3 linked regions of the Macaca fascicularis genome follow. The protein of the gene in region 2 interacts with the protein of the main gene of each other region in a biochemical or structural test. Links are inferred from orthologs where the notes say so. Each region holds a gene or a part of one and is shown on either strand. Other genes may lie near its edges.

Region 1 (4,669 bases), on a different chromosome or scaffold from region 2:
AACCTGAGTATTAAGATCTCTTATTCCACACTCTAGTCCCCACCACACTCTAAAGTAATCCATCTTCTGAGATGATGTGACCTCAAAGAGAAGCCTAATTAGTATGCCATTGTGGTTACTGAGCTGGTACCAGATGATAGGGTCATGCAGCAGCTATTAGAGACAGAAAATAGAATATTGTTTTGAAAGGCCTGTAAGTGGATAAGAGCTATTAAAAACATCAATCAATTCAAAGAAAATATTGAATGGCATAAGCAAGATACCACAGTAAGTACTATAGAAATAAAAAAAAGTTCAAGACACAGTTCTTACATTACTTTAACACCAGTAAGGCTGACTCGAGAACAACATTTACTAAATTAGGTATTAATGAAAGTCTGAAATAGGAGAGGATGGTAATACAAAGAGAAGCTGGTATAGAATAATTCCCTTAGATCACATGTCAGTACCATCAGCCCCATTTTTCTTTCTTGCTAATTTATTTCCCAGACAGTTCCTCTATTAGCACCTCCTTTTTCTCCCCAGTTCGCCACCCCATCTCAATCCTTTATTCTTTCCCCCGGGGAGATGGAGTCTCACTCTGTCACCCAGGCTTTAGTGCAGTGGCACAATCATAGTTCACTGTAGCCTCAAACTCCTGGGCTCAAGCAATCCCTTCAGCCTCCTGAGTATCTGGGACCATAGGCGTGTGTCACCACACCCAGCTAATTCTTTTGTTTTTGAAATAGGGTCTCGCTCTGTCCTAGGTTGGAGTACACCAGTGTGATCTCAGCTCACTGCAACCTCCGCCTTCCCAGCCATCCTCCCACCTCAGCCTCCGAGGTAGCTGGGATCACAGGAGCATGCCACCACACCAGCTGTTTCTTTTTCTTTTTCTTTTTTTTTTCTGTAGAGATGGGGTTTTTGTGGTCAGGCGCTCAAACCTGTAATCCCAGCACTTCGGGAGGAGGCTGTGGTGGGTGGATCATTTGAGGTCAGGAGTTCAAGACCAGCCCGGCCAACATGACAAAACCCCATCTCTACTAAAAATACAAAAATTAGCTGAGTGTGGTGGCAGACGCTTATAATCCCAGCTACCTGGGAGGCTGAGGCAGGACAATTGCTTGAGCCCAGAAGGTGGAGGTTGCAGTGAGCCGAGATCACGCCACTGCACTCCAACCTGGGTGACAGAGTGATATTCCATCTCAAAAAAAAAAATAAAACCAGAGATGGGGTTTTGCCATGTTGCCCAGGCTGGTCTCAAACTCCTGGACTCAATCGATCCACTCATCTCAGCCCTACAAAGTGCTAAGATTATAGGCATGAGCCACTATGCCCGACCGCTAATGTTTTCAGAGACAGTCTTGCTATGTTGCCCAAGCTGGTCTCAAACTCCTGGCATCAAGTGATTCTCCTGCCTCAGCCTCCTGAGTAGCTGGGATTACAGGTGCAAGCCACCAAACTTGGCTCTCAATCATTAATTACTCAGCATCAAATATATGAATTAGGTGAAAGCAGATGCCTAGTATCTCCTTCAAAAAGAAATTGTGGACTGGGCCTGGTGGCTCATGCCTATAATCCCAGCACTTTGGGAGGCAGAAGTGAGAGGATTGCTTGAGGCCAAGAGGTGGACACCAGCCTGGGTAAAATAGGGAGACCTTATCTCTATAAAAAATTTTGAAAAAGTAGCAGGGCATGGTGGTGCAACCTGGGAGACAGAGTGACATTCTTTAAAAAAAAGAAAAAAGAAAAAAGAAAGAAGAAATTATGACTTTTTCCCACTTCAACTGAAAATGCTTTTATAGAACACAAAGAAAATCCAGGATAAAAAGTATAGCCAACTGCTACTCTAAAGAAAAAAGCAATATCCTAGTAAATTTTTCCCAGTTCATGGCACAGAAAATAGTGCCAACTATTCAGCAGAAAAAGAATCTTGATAATAAAAAAGCGGCCAGGCACAGTGGCTGACGCCTGTAATCCCAGCACTTTGGGAGGCCGAGGCAGGCGGATCACCTGAGGTCAGGAGTTTGAAAATAGCCTGGTTAACATGCAAAACCCTGTCTCTACTAAAAATACAAAAAATTAGCCGGGCTTGGTGGCATGTGCCTGTAATCCCTGCTACTCGAGAGGCTGAGACAGGGAATCGCTTGAACCTGGGGAGCAGAGGTTGCAGTGAGCCGTGATGTCGCCACTGCGCTCCAGCCTGGGTGACAGAGAGAGACTCCATCTCAAAAAATAAATAAAGATAATAAAAAAGCCTGGCTAAAACCTATTAAGAGCAGCTACAGAAAAGAATTTTAGTGACCATTTAGAATGAGTGCCTGTTAGGCTTTGACCACGTAAGTGACCACTGCTTTATTTTTAGGTAACCCAAATGAAAAACAACTTTAAGACTGGAAAATACTTCAGCTTTGTAAAAATCCCAAATTTGAAATCTGTTTTTCCTTGGACAGGCCAGCTCAGAATGACTTACGGAGTTCATTTCCTTCACTGAGAATCTCTGCCCGGCGCACAAGCTGCTCAAACAGATTCCGCATATTCAGCATCATAGTATCCATCTTTCTGCCAAGAAATCAAATATACATTAGGGGTCCTGCCTTCTCACCCACGACAGAAGATTCTATAGCAATCCAGCCATCAGTGACCAACATCTGGACTCTTCCATTTATAACTACCATTATAAGAATCTCAAGCTAACAACAGATGTTTTGTGTGATTCTTATTATAAAAACAAACTTGGAATATTTAAGACTCATCTTAAAATTAGAAAACCATTTCAGACCTTTGAATATAACAGCCCCTCCAATCACTTTGTAGCAGAAAACAAATAGGAAAAAGCATGTCAGTTGATTACTAAGTGACTGACCAACAACAAAATGTGGTTCTTCAAGTCAAGCCTATTGATTAATATAATACTTTTACCAGTTTATTCCTTGTGGGCCTTGAAGACCTACAATGTGACTTAAAATATCTATTTTTAATTTCATTTTTAGCTAATGCCCCTGTTGCAACTGCCTTTTAAAATGCAGGACATGGTCAGCACATTTCCTACCAACAGCACAGATGACGTCACACGAATGATTAAGTGGGAAAATCGCCAGCTCAGCAGCACAAGAATTATTTCTGTAATGCAGGGCTTCTCTGCTAGGCTGTGTGGAGGAACTATGTCTAACAAATTTATACTAAGTAGAGGCAAAGGATTATGTTGTACCACATTCTGGCATCAGAGAGACAATACACCACCTTCATAGTTCGAAGGGCAAAGCAAAAATCATTTGCTACTGTGTTCTGTATAGTGAATTTCAGGCTTCGTATTTCCCCCCAAAGGCCTGCTGATACTACAGAAAAAACAGTGTCATTACAGGCAGTTATATTCCAAATAGATTTTAACTGGGAACACTTTGAGGAAATAAGATCTTCACTTAACAGTCAAGAAAGAAACACATTAACTGGATGTTATGAAAACTATCAAGGAAATGAAATAAAAAGTCAAATTTCATTAGAAATGTAATGTCCTCAGAAATACCATTAAAGGATTCTTATGTTTCTCTTAACCAATGCTTCAACATTCTAGTCCAGGTCCTTATTTCCTAAATAAAATTTTAAGAACTCTTATGAAGGGTTAGTGATTTTGCAATGTTTATAAGATTGTACCACAAGCTATGAGAGCAAGAAAAAATATATTAAAAAGCACAAAGGACAAAGAATATATGAACATAGGCTGGGCACGGTGGCTCACACCTATAATCCCAGCACTTTGGGAGGCCAAGGTGGGTGGATCACTTGAGGTCAGGAGTTCGAGACCAGCCTGGGCCAACATGGCGAAACCCTGTCTCTAGTAAAAACACAAAAATTAGCTGGGCACAGTGATGTGTGCCTATAATCCCAGCTACTTGGGAGGCTGAGGCAGGAGGATTGCTTGAACCTGGGAGGCAGAGGTTGCAATGAGCTGAGATGGTGCCACTGCACTCCAACCTGGGTGCCAGAGCAAAAAAAAAAAAAAGAATATATAAACATAAGATATTTTCTATTAAGTGCTGCAGAATTATTCATTTATATTCATATGATAATTGCTATAATAGAAAAAAAGTTTTCAGTTCCAAGCCTGGATGCAATATATACCTGAATCAGGGCCGGAAACCAAGATTTTCAAATGGCAAGTATCTGTTCCAAGCTACATAATCACAGCAAGCTGCTAAGCAACCAGACCAACAAATGTATTACAAAGATCTTTCTCTAAACTAAGAACAAAACTAAAAGGATAGCATTAAAACCGGCAGGAAGAGCTGTGGAATTCATAGAGACTCCATGGATTTAACAATATAACGAAATAAGCAACATACCCCAAGTGCTACAGGACAGAAATGGGCAGGACATTGGGTAGTCAATTCAAATGTTGGTTTCCTTTGGCTCTCATGAGGTAAAAATGGAAGACTCTAATCAGTAGTTTTAATATAAGGTATTGCTTTCTATCATCTCGGCACTCACTCACATATTGTGCGACTATAAGACAGTGAGCTCAGTACCAAGCAAAACTTCTAATCTGTCCAAGAATTCAAAAAGGAAAATTTCATGGTGCTAGGATGTTGAAAACTGGTTGTTTAAAAAAAAGCTTTTTTTGCCGGGCGCGGTGGCTCAAGCCTGTAATCCCAGCACTTTGGGAGGCTGAGACGGGCGGACCATGAGGTCA
Region 2 (4,841 bases):
CCAGGCTACAGAGCGAGACTCCGTCTCAAAAAAAAAAAAAGAAAAAAAAAAAAAAGAACTGGGAATAAGGCTGGGCGCAGTGGCTCATGCCTGTAATCCAAGCACTTTGGGAGGCCAAGGTGGGCGGATCACCTGAGGTCAGAGTTTGAGACCAGCCTGACCAATGGGATGAAATCCCGTCTCTACTAAAAATACAAAAATCAGCTGGCGTGGTCACATGCGCCTGTAATCCCAGCTACTGGGGAGGCTGAGACAGGAGAATCGCTTGAACCCGGGAGGAGGAGGTTGTGGTGAGCCGATATGGCGCTATTGCACTCCAGCCTGGGCAACACAGCAAAACTTCGTCTCAAAAAACAAAAACAAACAAACAAACAAAAAAAGAAGTGGTATTTAATTAGGTCTTCATCAACCTAGGGATTTGGGGTTGTCAGCAACAGAAACTACTACAGAAACCGACTACTTAGACTGGAGAGACAGGTGGTCCCCTAAGGGAAAATAAGAGTGTTAGGAGAAAGGAGAAGAGTGCTGGACAGTACATACTTAACAAGTATCCACTGGTTATTTCATAGAAGACCCAGAAATGTATTTATTTACAGTAATGTATTCATTACCCAGTAATGAAATCTGAGGGTTAGGAAGAGCAGAAAAGAAGGGAGTGTGGCAGGAAGGAGGAAAAATCAAAGTGGGCCCAAACAACATGGCAGCTAACAGAGATCTTGCAAGGAAAGGTCTACTCGTGGAAAACTCCTCCCAGGAATGTCAGAACTTTTAATAACGACATAGTAATGACACAAGAATAAACACACAGCCAAATGAGCAAACAACAGAATACAAAGTCTAGACATAGACACAAGTAAATATGCTAACATTATATATCAAGGGCAGCATTTAAATTCTATTGGGGCAGTTTGTTTAACAAATGGTGTTGACATAACTGGCTCTCCATCGCGCAGAAGTTAGACCCCAGCTCATACATGTATAAGGATAAACTCCAGTTATATTAAAGATTTAATTTTTTTTATAAAAAGAAGAAGGCCAGGCGCGGTGGCTCACGCCTGTAATACCAGCATTTGGGGAAGCCCAGGCGGGTGGATCACCTGAGGACAGGAGTTCGAGACCAGATTGGCCAACATAGTGAAAACCCGTCTCTACCAAAAATACAAAAATTCCGGGCGCCTGTAATCCCAGCCACTCGGGTGGCTGAGGCACGAGAATCGCTTGAAACCGGGAGGCAGAGGTTGCAGCAAGCCGAGATAGCACCACTATACTCCAGCCTGGGCGACAGAGAGAGACTCTGTCTCAAAAAAGGAAAGGGGAGGGGAGGGGAGGGGAGGGGAGGGGAGGGGAGGAGAGGGGAGGGGAGGAGAGGGGAGGGGAGGGAAGGGGAGGGGAGGGGAGGGGAGAAGAGAAGGGGAGGGGAGGAGAGGGGAGGAGAGGGGAGGGGAGGGGAGGGGAGGGGAGGGGAGAAGAGAAGGGGAGGGGAGGGGAGGGAGGGGAGAAGAGGAGGGGAGGGGAGGGGAGGGAGGGGAGAAGAGAAGGGGAGGGGAGGAGAGGGGAGGGGAGGGGAGAAGAGGAGGGGAGGGGAGAAGAGGAGGGGAGGGGAGAAGAGGAGGGGAGGGGAGAAGAGGAGGGGAGGGGAGGGGAGGGGAGGGGAGGGGAGGGGAGGGGAGGGGAGGGGAAGGGAAGGGAAGTAAAGAAAAGAAAAAGGAAGATAATTCACTGGGGGAATGTGGGGAAACCTTCCTAAGCTGGAAGCCAAGCGTGCCTCTTCCGTTGGGTTCCCATTACTTACGTCACAGGACATCGAGCCAATGGGAACTAGGCATGGGCGACGAGCTCACCCAATGGGGCCGGGGCGGGAGATTTGAAAGGTCCTCGGCCAGGGCGTGGCGTGGCAGATTCAGTTGTTTGCGGGCGGCCGGGAGAGTAGCAGTACCTTGGACCTCAGGTGAGCTGGCCTCCTGTCGCAGGCCTTGCGCCAGGAGTGGGCAGATGATCAGGCAGATCAGAGGGTCCGTTGGGCTGGCCTGCGCGCACACTGCAGGGCTGGAAGGAGGTAGGGATGATAGCAGGGTGGGGGCGGTGAGACAAGCGCCCGGATTGGAGCTAGTGTGCTGACCTGCTCCCTTTTACCAGCTCGGGCTAGCGCTTCCGGCTTGATCGGTCCAACCCCTACCTCTCTCTCTCTCTTTTTCTCTGCTTCTCACGGCTGTTTCCCTTCTCGGCCCAGCTCTCCTCCCCCTTTCCCTCTAAGGATGGCCCAGAAGGAGAACGCCTACCCCTGGCCCTACGGCCGGCAGACGGTAAGGCCCTTCCCTCCTTCCCCGCGCCCACATGACCCCGCATGGCGAGTTCCTGCTGGGAAACTTGAGATCGTGCAAAGAGCAATCCCTTATGCACTTTCTTTCCCGTTATGCTCCAAAGTACGCGCCCCAAGTTTGATGACAGAACCTGGTCTGGGCATTTGTAGCCAGCCACATCCTGTTAGGTGCTGCCAACTTGAATCTGACCAGCCAGTGACTACCAGCCGGTGAGGGCCTCTGCAGGGTTCATCACACACAAGTGATATCTGGGACTGAGCAGGCAGGGCCTGGCCTTCAGGCCATGATTCCCAACCCATGTCCTGAAAAAAATAAACTAGACAGCAAATATAAATAGACTCTAAAAGGATATAAAGTTACTGTTTAAAAGGTCCAGGAAAAGTCTAAATTATAATTTGGAATTAATGAGTAAGTTGAGGTAAGGATCTCAATGAATCTAAATGGATTTATTTCCCAGTTGTCCAGACAGATTTCATTGAGGGGCCTCCTCTCTGATTTGAAATGCCACCTTTATTATATATATAAATTCCCACATATATGTGGGTCTATTTCTGGACTGTATTTTATTCAACTTGCTTATTTGTAGATCTGTACCAATATCACTATTTGGGAAGAGGTTTTTAGGGGCATAGGGGCTCTCTTCTCTTGGCTGAAGAAGAAGGAAGGGGCCCTGCATAGGCTTTGCTCCCTGTTTGTGGAGCTCGGGCTTCCTGGAGAATCTGCCTGTCCCCTTGTTCATCAGCTCCCTCCCTCACGGAGCAATGAGTGAGGCTGTCAGGAATGGAGTCTGAATGAGAAACCATTGTCACTTTTACCTTGGTCACTCCTAAAAGAAAGTGTATCTATTATTTTGAGAAGCTGAAAGTGAGGCCAGGTGCAGTGGCTCATACCTGTAATCGTGGGAGGCTGAGGCAGGTGGATCACCTGAGGTCAGGAGTTCAAGACCAGCCTGGCCAACATGGTGAAACCCTGTCTCTACTAAAAATACAAAAATTAGCCAGGCATGGTGGCGGACGCCTGTAATCCCAGCTACTCAGGAGGCTGAGGCAGAAGAATTGCCTGAACCTGGGAGGTGGAGGTTGCAGTGAGCCGAGATGGCGCCATTGCACTCCAGCCTGGGTAATAGAGCAAGACTCCATCTCAGAAGAAAAAAAAGAAGGTGAAAGTGAGAAGTGGTCCAGGGCCATCAGAGTAGCTCTTAGTGTCCTTAAAGGCTGTTCTTGCAAAGGTGTAACCCCTGGTTATTGCTATAACATTCAAGGCCTCAAGCTTCTTATCTAAGCCTTAATAAACTAAGCTTTTTGGGAGACTTTGAGAATACCTCTGTCTAAACCCCTTGAATTGTGGGTGTTCACAGTAGACACCCAGCTCTCTACTGTGGTGTAGGTGAGAGGCTAGATGAATGGCTGTGGTGTTATGGACAGGACTTATACAAGTTGAACAGCTTCATGCCTGAAAAGTGTGGGCCAGGGCCAAAGAGGTGAAATGTTAGGTGTTGGTGTGAGTCTTTTGCCCCTTATCTTAGGCCTACTTAGGTTATTTTTTAATTTTTTAATTTTTATTTTTTAGAGACAGAGTCTCACTCTGTCGCCCAGGCTGGAGTGCAGTGGCGCAATCTCAACTCACTGCAACCTCTGCCGCCCGGGCTCAAGCAATTCTCCTGCCTCAGCCTCTCAAGTAGCTGGGATTACAGGACCCGCACCCAGCTAATTTTTTTTTTTTTTTTTGAGACGAAGTCTAGCTCTGTCGCCCAGGCTAGAGTGCAATGGCACAATCTCGGCCCACTGCAACCTCTGCCTCCTAGGTTCAAGCGATTCTCCTGCCTCAGCCTCCTGAGTAGGTGGGATTACAGGCACTCGCCACCACGCCCAGCTAATTTTTGTATTTTTAGTAGAGTGGGGTTTCACTGTGTTGGCCATGCTGGTCTCGAACTCCTGACCTCGTGATCCGCCTGCCTCAGCCTTCCAAAGTGCTGGGATTACAAGCGTGACCCACCACACCCAGCCGCACTGGGCTAATTTTTTGTATTTTTAGTAGAGACGGGGTTTCACCATGTTGGCCAGGCTGGTCTTGAACTCCTGACTGCGTGAGCCACTGCGCCCGGCCCTAGGTTGTTTATGAATAACCCATTTTAACATGGGACTGTGAGCAGAGGCTGGGAGGCAAAACTGTCACATCAGTGTTTCTCTTTGAATTGGGGGTGGGCGGGTGGGTGGCTCTTTAGCAAGGGGCTGAAATACTGCTTGCAGCACATTCCACCCGGGTCATCAGACAAAGGCACCCTCAGAGCTACCCCCTGCTCCTTCTCAGGCTCCGTCTGGCCTGAGCACCCTGCCCCAGCGAGTCCTCCGGAAAGAGCCTGTCACCCCATCTGCACTTGTCCTCATGAGCCGCTCCAATGTCCAGCCCACAGGTACCTGGGGCAAGGGGGAGAGGACTGATGAGCGTCTATGGGAGGGTTTAGGGATGAGAAGGTCATCCCTGCTCTCATTCAACTTACCTGTTGTCTCCTTAGCTGCC
Region 3 (4,654 bases), on a different chromosome or scaffold from region 2:
AAGATAGGGTCTTGCTATGTTGCCCAGGCTGGTCTCAAATTCCCGGGCTCAAGCAATCTACCTGCCTCGGCCTCCCAAAGTGCTGGGATTACAGGTGTGAGCCACTGTGCCTAGCCTGCTTATTTTTCTATCTCAGCAGGTTGCTGCAAAGTGTGGAGTAAGTTGCTCACCCTCATCATACCCAGTAACCACTCAGAGCTTTTTAAACAGTCCATCCTTGCCTTGGACTGAATTCCAGAGATGATATCCTTTGCTTCTGGCAAAAATTTAGCAGTCAATAGAAGTACAGTAAATGTGTGTTGAATGAAAAGGTCTTTGTGAGATTTACATGTAGAATAAAAAGTTAGGTTAGATCCTCCTGCTAGAAACCCTCACAGTATCTTGTAAAACAGTTAAGATCTCAGGCTATGAAACCAGAATACCTGGGTTCAAACAGACTATTCCACTAACTAGCTTATGAGGCCTTGAGCAAAGTATCCAATTTCTCTGTGCCTTAATCTTGTCATTTAGAAAAATAGGGATATTATTAGTTATGAAGAAAAATTAGTTAATATATGTAAAACACTTGGTACAATGCCCATCCGGCATAGAAATCACAATATGCTCACTGACAACTACTCTATTCTATCTCCTTTGTAGTACCTATACTTTTAATTACATAATTGTATGTGGATTTTTCTAATAGCTCTTTTCTACTAACCTGTATGTTTCTGAAGGCAGAGACAATGTCTGTTTTATTCCCCAGTGCATCTTTAGCACCTAGCACTGTGACTCACACATGCTCAGTATTTGTAGAAATGAGCAAATGAATGGCTTAATATTAATAAATAAAAGGACAAGTCAAAAGGATCATTCAACGTCTAATATGTGAACAGAACATGCATTTCTATCCAGCAAGGAGACTACATGCTGGATAATTAATAATAAGGAAAACTTTTGCAACCCAGCAGAAAAGTACAGCCTCCTGCATTTCTCTGGACATTTAATAAGGGAGTGGGGAAGCAGGCTGGGATTTTTCTCTGGCCAGGAAAACTGATGTGCCTTTTTTTTTTTGAGATGGAGTTTCATTCTTGTTGCCCAGGCTGGAGTGCAATGGCGGGCTCTTGGCTCACCGCAACCTCCACCTCCCAGGTTCAAGCGATTCTCCTGCCTCAGCCTCCTGAATAGCTGGGATTAGAAGCATGCGCCACCACACCCGGCTAACTTTTTTTATTTTTAGTAGAGACAGGGTTTCTTTCTTTTTTTTTTTTTTTTGTGAGATGGAGTCTCTCTCTGTCGCCCAGGATGGAGTGCAGTGGCCGGATCTCAGCTCACTGCAAGCTCCGCCTCCTGGGTTTACGCCATTCTCCTGCCTCAGCCTCCGGAGTAGCTGGGACTACAGGCACCCGCCACCACGCCCGGCTAGTTTTTTGTATTTTTTTTAGTAGAGACGGGGTTTCACCGTGTTAGCCAGGATGGTCTCGATCTCCTGACCTCCTGATCCACCCGTCTCGGCCTCCCAAAGTGCTGGGATTACAGGCTTGAGCCACCACGCCCGGCCGAGACAGGGTTTCTCCATGTTGATCAGGCTGGTCTCGAACTCCTGACCTCAGGTGATCTGCCCGCCTCAGCCTCCCAAAGTGCTGGGATTACAGGCATGAACCACTGCGCCCAGCCTGATGTGCCCATTTTTAAGTTAGCAATTTCCATAAGCTGCATAAGGAGCTGCTTTGGGTTATTCTTTCATCTGAGCTCTGGTTAACTAACCATGTCATTTATTCATTCATTTTTAAATGGGTTGGGTAAAATATACATATTTTTTAAAAATACTATTTTCTGGCTGGGCACAGTGGCTGACTCCTGTAATCCCAGCACTTTGGGAGGCTGAGGCATGCAGATCACTTGAGGTCAGTAGTGCGAGACCAGCCTGGCCAACATGGTGAAGCCTCGTCTCTACTGAAAATACAAAAATCAGCAGGGCATAGTGGCAGGAGACCGTAATCCCAGCTACTCCGGAGGCTGAGGCAGGAGAATCACTTGAATACAGAAGGTGGAGGTTGCAGTGAGCCAAGATCGCACCACTGCACTGCACTCCAGCCTGGGTGACAGAGTGAGACTCTGTTCCAAAAAAATAAAATAAAATTCCTGATGTGTGAAAATTATGTGAAATTCACATTTCAGTGTATCCACAACTAAAATTTTATTGGAATACAGCCCATCCATGCCCATTCACTATAGCTGTTTTGGACCTGTAACAGCAGAGCTAAGTTGTCCGACAGAGACCCCTCCCACCGGCTCAAGTAGCCTAAAATATTTGCTACCTAGGCCTTTAGAGAAAAGGATGGAGACACATGACTTACGGAAGTGAGACAGAGAGTGAAAGGGTCTGCAATTTTCCATAAGTGGTCATGTCAGATTTCATTAAAAGGTGACATCTGAGCGAGTCCTTTCTGAAGGGTGTTACCTAACCCCACGGGGCTCCCGGCCTCCGCCCAGGGAAGCTCTCCAGCTCTTACCGAAGTAGTCAAGCCAGTTCATCTGGCGCAGCGCCTTGGGGAGCCGCAGGATCTCGATGTTGTAGAGGTTATCCACCTCCTTGAGGAGGTTCTGCCTGTCTGACTCAATTTGCTTGATTCGTATTTCCACTGCGGGAGGGCAGAGCCGACAGGACACGGGTCACGGGGCGGGTGAATGTGTGCAGCTCGTGTCCCCACCCGCCAGCATCCCGCGACCGCCCCAGGAGGCCGCGACGGCCTGGCCCCTTTACCTTCACGGTCGAAGTCTTTCAGAAAGGAGGCGAGCTTCCGCCTCCGTAAGGAGTTGATCTTGGCCACCCGACTACTGCCCTTCCTAGGAGCCATGGCGCTCGGCGGAGGCTGCGGGGAGCGGCGGAGATGGGGCAGGGAGGCAAGGAACCAGGTAGGGACCAGGAGGGCGGATGGGGACCACCCGAATAAGTCGCCAGGCACGTACCTCCGGTCTCGCGACAAGGACTGAGTAAAACCTCGCTATGCCAGTGAGAGAGAGCGGCTCTACCGTCAACCGCCACCTAATTCAAACTCCACAGCCACAGGCTGACGAATGAGAAACCGCCGTCCCACAGTATCCAATCACAAGCAAGTTCCTACCTGCCCGGGGTCTCCCGCCCAATGCGCTCCCTATAGCCGGAGTGCGTCAGCGCGGGCGCCGCCGTCGCGGGTGCTCCTGGGAGTTGTGGTCCAGGCTTGTTTCCCCGCCCTCCCCACCAACCCACCCGGCTCCGCCCTGGCCGGCTGCAAACTATACAAACTGCGACTCCCGGCAGGCCTTGCGGCGGGTCCTCATTACCCCAATCTTTGAAGGGCTAGGAGCGGACTAGGTCAGGTCGGCTGTAGGATTCTGCTCCGGGGCCGGCGGCTGCTTCTTCCAGGCCTGGCTGCCACTGAGTAGCCGAGGGGCCGCCGTGACACTCTGACTGATTGACTGGTTGGCTGCCTACGTCGGCGCTCCTCAGGGCCCCAAGCTCCCCAGGCCGAACTTGGGGCAAGTGGAGGGTCGGCGGAGACAGAGCAGCCCCGACAGGGTTTGGAAGGGGTCGAGGCGGAATGACAGGGGAGCGGGGCCGGGGTGCAGGCTTTGGGGTGGGCGCGCCAGCCCGTGGCCAGTTTGGGCAGCGAGTGGGGAGAACCCTCTTGTTCCTCGCTTGCCCGCGGGCCGGCCACTCCCGTCCAGTTCGCGTCTTGGCGCCTCGACTGGGTGTGCAGCGCGGGGCCGCGACTTCAGGTGCGAGTAGTGGCGCTTGGCAGCTGCCCACGCGGTGACTGCAGCGTGAGCCGCGGCCACCACACTCCAGGGAGCCCAGGGCAGGAGGCAGCTCTGGGTGTTCTGGCCGTGGGCCTGGGAATGGGCGTGTAGACCTCGAACCCCGCTGAGCCGCAGTCCTGTCGGAAGTGCTAACTGTGCATCTTTGCATCTGCCCACAGCCACAGGGTTGGATTGCTCAAGGGTTGTGCTGAGACCCAGCAAGGCTAGAGGCTAGTTTCGAAGCTGTAGCTCAGGCTGAGTCTCAAGGCGGGCGACGACTGGACGGCCAGACCGGCGAGCTCTTGACAGGTTTGTGGCCTGATTGTTTGGATTTGGTGCTTTTCACCTGTGGATGCGGAATGAAGCCATGTCAGAGGGGTTGTTTGTGTTTAAGCGTGCATGTTATAGGCTATGGGAGTGATAATCTTGCCTCTCCCCCTCTGAGTTCAGGAACAATCAAAGAAATAAGCAAAGGTGCCAAGCAGGCTCCTGATGGGCACCAGCGAGCTTGGGGACAGAGCAGTCCAAGCATAGAAACCCTGGCAAGCCTGGCCCTTCCTAGAAAGTCCTTTCTCTCTCTCTTCCACCCTGGTTTGTTGCTCCATATACAAAAAATATTTGAATGTCGCTCTTCCGCCCAAGGTCAGCCCTGGGCAGTGGGTGGTGGGGGTGACACCCGAGTCTGCTGGGTGCCTAAGGATCTCCATCAGTTAGATGGCCAAGATGAGAGGGGACGACAACCCGTACCTCATGTAGGCTTTCCCGCAGCAGGTGTTTTTATGATGGGCAAATTGGGCTTCCAGCCTCTCGGTTTCAGGGTTTCCTTCACCCGACTCCCCAATGTGCCCGACCTCCCTGGGCACCTAGGATGTCCACCTGCATCTCAGCGAGA

The links.
Region 1: of the proteins of AURKB (region 2) and RACGAP1, one has a biochemical effect on the other in vitro, tested with the Homo sapiens proteins (2 studies listed by BioGRID and IntAct). The link is inferred for Macaca fascicularis from reciprocal best matches to the Homo sapiens genes AURKB and RACGAP1.
Region 3: the proteins of AURKB (region 2) and CDCA8 form a complex in vitro, tested with the Homo sapiens proteins (3 studies listed by BioGRID, with this or other methods). The link is inferred for Macaca fascicularis from reciprocal best matches to the Homo sapiens genes AURKB and CDCA8.

The regions. Positions count from the first base shown.
Region 1 is NC_088385.1:56,844,532-56,849,200, forward strand, and holds the start of RACGAP1 (rac GTPase-activating protein 1), read right to left. Parts: upstream 3,036-4,669; 5' UTR 2,821-3,035; coding exon 2,762-2,820; intron 2,542-2,761; coding exon 2,453-2,541; intron 1-2,452.
Region 2 is NC_088390.1:8,288,252-8,293,092, reverse strand, and holds the start of AURKB (aurora kinase B), read left to right. Parts: upstream 1-1,902; 5' UTR 1,903-1,948; intron 1,949-2,230; 5' UTR 2,231-2,255; coding exon 2,256-2,303; intron 2,304-4,570; exon of another isoform or gene 4,571-4,631; coding exon 4,632-4,734; intron 4,735-4,836; coding exon 4,837-4,841. UniProt on the Homo sapiens protein: Serine/threonine-protein kinase component of the chromosomal passenger complex (CPC), a complex that acts as a key regulator of mitosis.
Region 3 is NC_088375.1:197,227,558-197,232,211, forward strand, and holds the start of CDCA8 (borealin), read right to left. Parts: upstream 3,036-4,654; 5' UTR 2,953-3,035; intron 2,856-2,952; 5' UTR 2,841-2,855; coding exon 2,747-2,840; intron 2,625-2,746; coding exon 2,496-2,624; intron 1-2,495.